Astyanax mexicanus: one gene and its partner. The protein of the gene in region 2 purifies or fractionates together with the protein of the main gene of each other region. This does not show direct contact. Links are inferred from orthologs where the notes say so. Each region holds a gene or a part of one and is shown on either strand. Other genes may lie near its edges.

What was found.
Region 1: the proteins of dock1 (region 2) and elmo1 purify together in Homo sapiens (affinity purification with western blotting; 12 studies listed by BioGRID and IntAct, counting the BioPlex papers as one, with this or other methods). This does not show direct contact. The link is inferred for Astyanax mexicanus from reciprocal best matches to the Homo sapiens genes DOCK1 and ELMO1.

What each region holds. Positions count from the first base shown.
Region 1 is NC_064410.1:47,945,369-47,949,293, reverse strand, and holds the start of elmo1 (engulfment and cell motility protein 1), read right to left. Parts: upstream 2,508-3,925; 5' UTR 2,356-2,507; intron 1-2,355. UniProt on the Homo sapiens protein: Involved in cytoskeletal rearrangements required for phagocytosis of apoptotic cells and cell motility. Acts in association with DOCK1 and CRK. Was initially proposed to be required in complex with DOCK1 to activate Rac Rho small GTPases.
Region 2 is NC_064422.1:13,828,855-13,832,779, forward strand, and holds the start of dock1 (dedicator of cytokinesis protein 1), read right to left. Parts: upstream 2,367-3,925; 5' UTR 2,191-2,366; coding exon 2,148-2,190; intron 1-2,147. UniProt on the Homo sapiens protein: Involved in cytoskeletal rearrangements required for phagocytosis of apoptotic cells and cell motility. Along with DOCK1, mediates CRK/CRKL regulation of epithelial and endothelial cell spreading and migration on type IV collagen.

The DNA of each region.
Region 1 (3,925 bases), on a different chromosome or scaffold from region 2:
AGAACAGCAGAATGGTCATCTCAACAAATTGCCTGCCATTACAGCTTGATAAGGCTCAACCAAACACAAAATACCAGTTTTGGCAACCTACAGCATGCATGATCTACAAGACAAGCTACAACTTTGATAGGAAAATGTGCCTCAGGATGCCATACAGAATATATTTGCCTTTATGCCCAACCATACTTTTTTGTATTCAGGCTAGAGGCAGCCCAATAAGGTACTAAAGTCTCTATTTAAATGTGTATTTAATTGTTTAATGTTTTTCTTACAAATATTACCTTAACATTTACATATAACAATTAATTTGATTCCAACCACTCATTCTTGGTGCGCTAGGTTTATTGTTAATAAGTGTATATCACATGTTCTTTGTTTCTCTGTAAACTCAACATGGAAAAATCCTTCCAGAAGTCACCCGACACTGGACAAACCAACCACATGCAAAGTGATGCCCAATATAGCAACCAGCTCTGACACATATGAGCCATATGTACATACTGCACTACTCGCCATCATCAGCTGTTTTTATAATAACAGAGATAGCCATCAAATAAGCAGTTGTACCATGGACACCACACATTAGTCACATATGAATGTGAGAGTCCACTGCTATTACAACAATGACTAAAGCCATCCATTAAGCATTGACTCCTCTGTGCTTTAATTAGGACTGACCCAACAATGTGATATGTGTGCTTCTGGACTGCTCTGTTCAGACACATCTGTGCAGGCCAGTCTGTATTACATGGACAAGAGCTCATGGAGAGTTTACTGGGCGAAGCCACTGATGTCACCATAGCCTGAAGCCCAACAAGTGACTCAACTACTTGAGGATGAAAGAAGGCGACCGTTGCTGCTAAGAGACAAAATCTTGTCCAATGTTGTCAAGCCATTATCTCATATAATGAAGAGGAGTGGATGCTGATTATGAAACAAAAGAAAGAAAACATCGTGAAACATCTGGTGCACTGAACTTTTAGTGAATGAAAAAGAACTACAGAAATATTACATGATGTTCTAAAAGATTAATATATCAATCATAAGTATTACTGTATTTAGACAGAAACACCCCTGCACGATGTGGGGAAAAATCTAGTACAAAACACTGCAGTCAGGTTCGAGTTCTATCAGCACTGCATTCCATACTAATTATTAAATTATGCTAGGCACCTACACCTGTCTGCTCCTAACTACCTGCAAGACCTAACTTCCTATTATAAAGCATCCTGTTTAGTCAGGACATTGGATGCTGGTCCTTATGTGAACCATAACCATAATGCTGATGAGAATCAGCTGTTGCAAAAACACTATTACAAAAAAATCTATAAACAAAACAAGAGTGAACTATAACAAGCTGAATCATCACTGCTTTATCATCTACAAAATGTTGCCAACAAATAAAAAAGCTTACAATAAGTAAGCTTACAACAAGAATGTAAGAATAGAGTAAGAATATAAACAGCTAAATATACTTCTTAACATATTATTGCACATATACATATTTTTTTATTTATGAGCCGGTGGGATGTAGATATGTAGTGTAACATTATATTAAAGATAAATAAATACATAAAAATAAGGTAAGTTTTAAAATGGGGAAATATCCTATAGATGGTTAGTTGCATAATAAAACTGACATTATTTAGAAAAATAAACAAGAAACATGCTAAAATAACACAGTATATCCAAATGATCCACTCTGAAGTCACACAGCCCTCTGCATAGATGACAGTATACACAACACACAGTTTGAACATTCAAACTTCCACTTTTTGTGTTGTTTGCACAACAAACCCTGCTGTTTATCCAACATCTCTTTTATCTTAACGTTACACTTGCTTTAGAAAGTTGGTTAGTGGGTCTTGTTTTGGGGGAGCCAACTAAATAAATAAATCTAGTTAACTGATGTAACTACTCTGCTTTCAATAAAGCAATGTTAACCTTTATATAACCGTAATATAAGCCTCATAATAATAACAATACAATTATAGACACAAGTTAAAGTAGCCTATGATATAGAGAGAGATACAAAAACTAGGTAATTAGGAGCCACCCTTCTCTCTCTTTCTCTCTCTCTCTCACTCTTTTCTCACCCCTTTAACCTCTTCCCACCCTTCCTCCCTCCTTCCCTCTCTCTCTCTCTCTCTCTCTTTCTCCATCTCTCGTCTGTTTATGTCCACTCCTATAACCACACGTATGGTATAGCAGCTAGGGGTGCCGCGCCGGCCAGCTGTCCTCCGCAGCCCAGCGGGGAACTGCTCACCCCGCCGCCCGGGAAAGTGAAGCCCGGACCGGCCGCCGGCTGTGTTTACCCCCGCCGCTGCTGTCTCAACACCAAGCCGTTACACTGACCTGAGGCGGCGAGGCTCCTCCGCAGGGCTGCTGCTGCTGTAGGGAGTTGAGGGCAGTATCAGCGCGCTCTCCGTCTCCTTTCCGCTGTTCCTCTGTTTCTCTGAGTGTGTGTGCGTGTGTGTTTGGTTCAGAGCGCGGACACACACTCACACACACTGCTGCTGTTTTCACTTCCTCCACCTCCGCCTCCTCCCTCTGCTGCCTGCTTCCCTCCGCTTACAGCGCGAGGCGGCGCACGGACCAATCAGAGCGCAGAAACCCTGAGCGCTGGCCACGCCCTCTCACTCATGGCTTCACTAAACCCAGCCCAGCCCGGCGTACACAAACACACCACACCACAGCTACACCTCTGCATCACATGGACATAGATGTGGACTATATGTACAAATATACTAGTGCATCTCAAAAAATGAGAATATAATTGAAAAGTTACTCTATTTCAGTAATTCAGTTCAAAATGTGAAACTCATATTTAATATAGATATAAAATACACATAGAGTAATCTATTTTAAACGTTTCATTACGTTTCATTCTTACAGCCAATTAAAAACAAGCACCAGCAGATGACATGACATGGCCATCACTGACTGTGGCATATTACATATTCCAATATTAGATATCGGTGAGTGGCAAGAGTAACTGCTCCTCTTGTGGGTAAAAATAATGTTTTATGCCGGCTAAGGATCCAGTTAGGTTCCCCTCTAATAAGACGTGCTCCACCTGTAGATTAAATGTGATGTTCTGCTGTTAAGGGTGTAATCACATTTGATAGAATGAGGGGAAGCTTCCTCATGGTGGAGAGAAGAAAATGTGCCTTATAGGTGCCCTCATAACAGTATATATTTATAACATATTTGGTGGTAAAAGACAAAGTAAATTGTTGTCAGTGATGGTAAAAAATAAATAAATTACCATGCAGTTATTAAGCATGCATCTATGTCTATCCATGTTCTATCCATTAGTATCTTATTTATAGACTTAATTTGATTATTTTAAGACTTTATTTAACAGTATTATTAGTAGGATTCTTAAGCTAAACATGCAATGTTTTCTCATTTTTGTTTCAATTTAAATTTTCCCACAAATAAATTTAGTTGAACCAGAATATTATTTTCCCATTTAAAGACACTGATCATGTACACTTGCCACTAATGCAATACATCTAAATCAGGCCATTCCCAGTTTAACACTCAGCTTTAAATAGGTTTAATAATTTATTATTTTCATCACAATTAATTATTAATACCAAAGAAGCCCTAGATTTCACTGCTTTCTTTTAATTAAAACTATTTCATTATCTTCTTCCACTTCTTTCTCTTTGTTAAACAGTCTGAACGGAAATATTATTAGATATGTGGATAGCCTTAATCATGGCAACTTTAAAAACATGCCAAAAGTCATGGGACAGCAGCATTAGAAAATGATCATTAAGTGTAACCTTAGAAGACAGCTTGGGGATGCCCACACCTGTACACCTGTGTTTTCTTAAGTTTGAACACTGGCCAGCATGTTCACAGCAAATTGAGTGAGGTATGATAGTGGGTGCCAAATGGATGGGGAATTCTATTT
Region 2 (3,925 bases):
ATGGTATAAAATGGTCTCAAAATTATAATTCTGTTCCAAACTAAAATGTTGATTGTGACAGACCAATGTTCTAAACAAAAGTGATTCATAATGAAAGTGATTTTTCTATAATATCACTCAGAGAAGAGTTTCAGCAGCTTTATTTTTAGTTGTGTACAATCAAGAGGAAAGTGTTGCTTCTACAAACAGCGTACAGTATAGTTAAAGACCTACAGTTGTTTAATTTGTTGGTAGTTTAAAGAGATTAGGAGCTAGTGAGATAAGAGTTTATCTCTCAGAAAGGTCACTCAAACTAAACTGAATCAAAACAGAAAACCAGGAGTGTGTAAAACAACAATGACAGACTCTAAAGGTATGCAAACACCAGTCAACCCATCTCTACTTCCAGGTAAAAAAAAAACATGTAGGAACATGAACTCACTCTCACTAGCTGAGCTGCAGAACTTCCAAATACCAAATCACCACAATTCCTCAAATGAGCCAACTACTAATATAAACAGCTGTTAAAATCACCAAACTAAGCATGGACCTGTTGCTTTTATTTTGCACCAAACATATTGGAAAGTCACTGAAAAAAATTAGGAAATCACTGAAATGTTCACACTATTAAAGTTGTTTAATACTGAATATATTAAATTTCTCCTGCATATGGTCACTGTCTGGCAAATATATTGTATTTCCACTTTGCACAGTGTATTTATTACATATGTATCGAACTTTTAAAAAGTTTTAACAATTATATATTTTATTTGCATGATACAGCATGTCCTGCGATTTGACTATTGTGGTTTTAGGCCAAAACTATCCTGAAAACAAAAAAATAAAGACCACAGTTTCTGCGCTGATACATGTTTTATATGCTTTATATGTTCTCAGATACTCATTATTTGAGTAGATTTTATTTTATCTGCCATATCTGCAAGTTTTGATACTTATCCTACAGTCCTTTACCGTACAACTAACAGAGACAGTAATACTTATACTGTAGTTAGGTAACAAACTATTTACAGCTCTGGAAATAACATGAGAGCACTTAAAAATTATGAGTTTCTTTGATTTTACCAAATTGAAAACCTCTGGAATATAATCAAGAGGAAGACGGAAGATCAAAAACCATCAAACCACCAAACTGAACTGCTTAAATTGAATTTGCACCAAGAGTAAAGCAGCATAAAGGTATCCAAAAGCAGTGTGTAAGACTGGTGGAGGATAACATGCAAGGATGCATGAAAACTGATTAAAAACCAGGGTTATTCCACCGAATATTAATTTCTGAAGTTTAAAAACTTTATGAATATGAACTGAATATGGTCTGAAAGCTCTGCATCTTTTTTTTTTTTGTTGTTATTTCACCCATTTTCTGCAAATAAATTCTCTAAATGACTGTATGTTTATTTGGAATTTGGGAGAAATGTTGTCTGTAGTTTATAGAATAAAACAACAATGTTCATTTTACTCAAACATAAACCTATAAATAGCAAAATCAGAGAAACTGATTCAGAAACTGATTTTTTTCATTTCATTTTTTCCAGAGCTGCTTAATTATAGCTAATTAACGCAGGTTAAATCACTAATGATTAGTGTCCAGCCCAGTCTCCTCAACTCCTCCACTAAAGTTACAAACAAAACAAAATATTGCCTAAATGTAAAGTTAAAGTAAATGTTATGGTTAATGTTATGTTATGCAAATGTTGTGGATAAAAACAAATCTGTGTTGTTGTAAAAACAGGCGCGCGCTGATCCACAGGTTTCAGGAAACCTGTTCAGAACAAACAAACGCACCTGAGAGAGAGTAAGAGTAAATATTATCAGTTTAAATAAGTTTAAACAGTAAAATAGAGGAGCTGAGAGTAAAAACACAGCTCCTTCAGTTTCTCCAGGCCTTTATTCTCCTCCTTCTTCCACAGGAAACCGGCCATTCCCAACTCCTCACTCCTCTCTCTCCCACTCAGACCCGCAGATCTGCGCTTATTAAACTCTGAATAACTGAGTATCAGCCCGCGGGTCCCGCAGACCCTCAGCGGGAGATTATCTTCTGTTAGTTTCAGGGAGTTCTCGGTGTTTCTGAGGTAAATCTGGAGTTTAATCCTGTATTTAGTTAGTTTTAGTTAGTTTAGTTTCTAAGGTAAACGCCGCTGTTTACTCACCCACTCCATACTTCTCCTTCTTCGTGGGAACCCAGCGCGACATTCTCCCGCGGGCAGTAACTCTCAGCCGGGGTCAGAAGCTCCTCCGCGACGCGGTAACTTCTCCGCTCGGCTCCCGGGCGCTCGGTTCTCCGGTAATTCTCGGTTACAGGAGCTGAGGGCAGACTCCTCCAGCCGCCATTTTCCACTAAACTGCTGCCGCCGCTGCGGGCTGTGAGGGCGCGCGCGCGCCACGCTAACTTTTTTTCCGCCCGTATTCCGAGAGGTCCCGCCCCTCCTGCGCTCCGATTGGCGAAAAAGTTCCCGTCTGCGACCGTACTCCAGACTTCTGCCGACTCCGATTGGACGCCGCGTTCTCGCCGGCCAATGAAAAGGAAGGAGAGGCGGGTGGTTTACGGAAAACGGGTGGGCGAAAACAAACGCTGGTCAGTGAGCGCCACGAGAGGAGTGGAGTCAAAAACTGAGAGAAAAAACAAAATAATAATAAATAATAATATAATAAATAAATAATAAAATAAGAAACAGCTTAAACATGTACACTAGCTAACCAACTTTATAACTAACTAACTTCAATTAACTAAATGACTGTCTAATCATCCAATCAGCTAACGTTATCTGACTGACTAATTAACCAAGGGACTGGCCAATAAACGAACCTAACTGAGGGGATACTTGACTGTCTATCGTTAACTAGGGTTAACTAAATGAATGTCTAATCAGCCAATTAACTAAATGACTAATTAATTAACTGACTGACCAATAAGCTACCGGATGAATTAACAAACTGACTTATTAACCAACTGACTGACTATTTACCGAACTGAATAGCTAACTAACTAACTTGATGAATGACTGAATAATCAACCAACTGATTGGAAAACTGGCTACTTAACCCACTGACTAAGTAACTAATGTACATATTGACAGGATAACTAACTAAAACGACTCATTTGCAAATTATCTGATTAACTACTTAACTAACCTACTCATTAACTGGCTAATTAATCTACTAAATATCACTGATTAATATTCAGCAGACTGAATGGATAATAAGCCGACCCACAAGTTAAGTAATTAACTGGCTGATTAGCTAATCAGTTAATCAGCCTTTTAAGAAAAATGAGACATATACGCAAAACTAACTTTTACATGGTTTTGTATTTCCAATTTGGTCTCTCTGCATCTTATTAGTATAAACGTGTCAGAGCCCTTAAAACTTTAAAACTGGTAAGAATAGAGAGTGAGATCTCTTTATTTTAAGTGTGAGTGATTCTGTTTGAAGAACTTCATTAAAACATGTTTTGTCTAGCTCATAGACCTATTCTAACTTGTCTAAAAAGAGGTATAATATGTTTCATTTAACTAAGATTGTTTTGGATTTCTTTCTTTTTTTTCTATTTCTTATATTCGTGTCTTTAATTTTTCCTATACTGTCTATTTCGTCTTTGTTTCTTGCTGTTTTTTATATGTATATAGGACATGTACATGGACATGTTTTAAATATTTAGATAAAATAATAAAAACTGTATGAGCAGCATATTCTCCACAAAGTTACCTGAGGAATTATTAAAGAATAAGAAGTCACTAACTTTAGTTTATGGGATGTCAGGTACAGGTCCTGCTGTGAAGGGGTATGTTATTGCCCGGTCTCTGCGTAGCTCTGATAAAGCTTCCAAGAATAGAATAACAGACACTGATATGTATTTTACTTTCATGTTATATTTGATTAGGTTCTGACGGCTTGGAATAGGACAGACTATACAGCTCTGGAAAACATT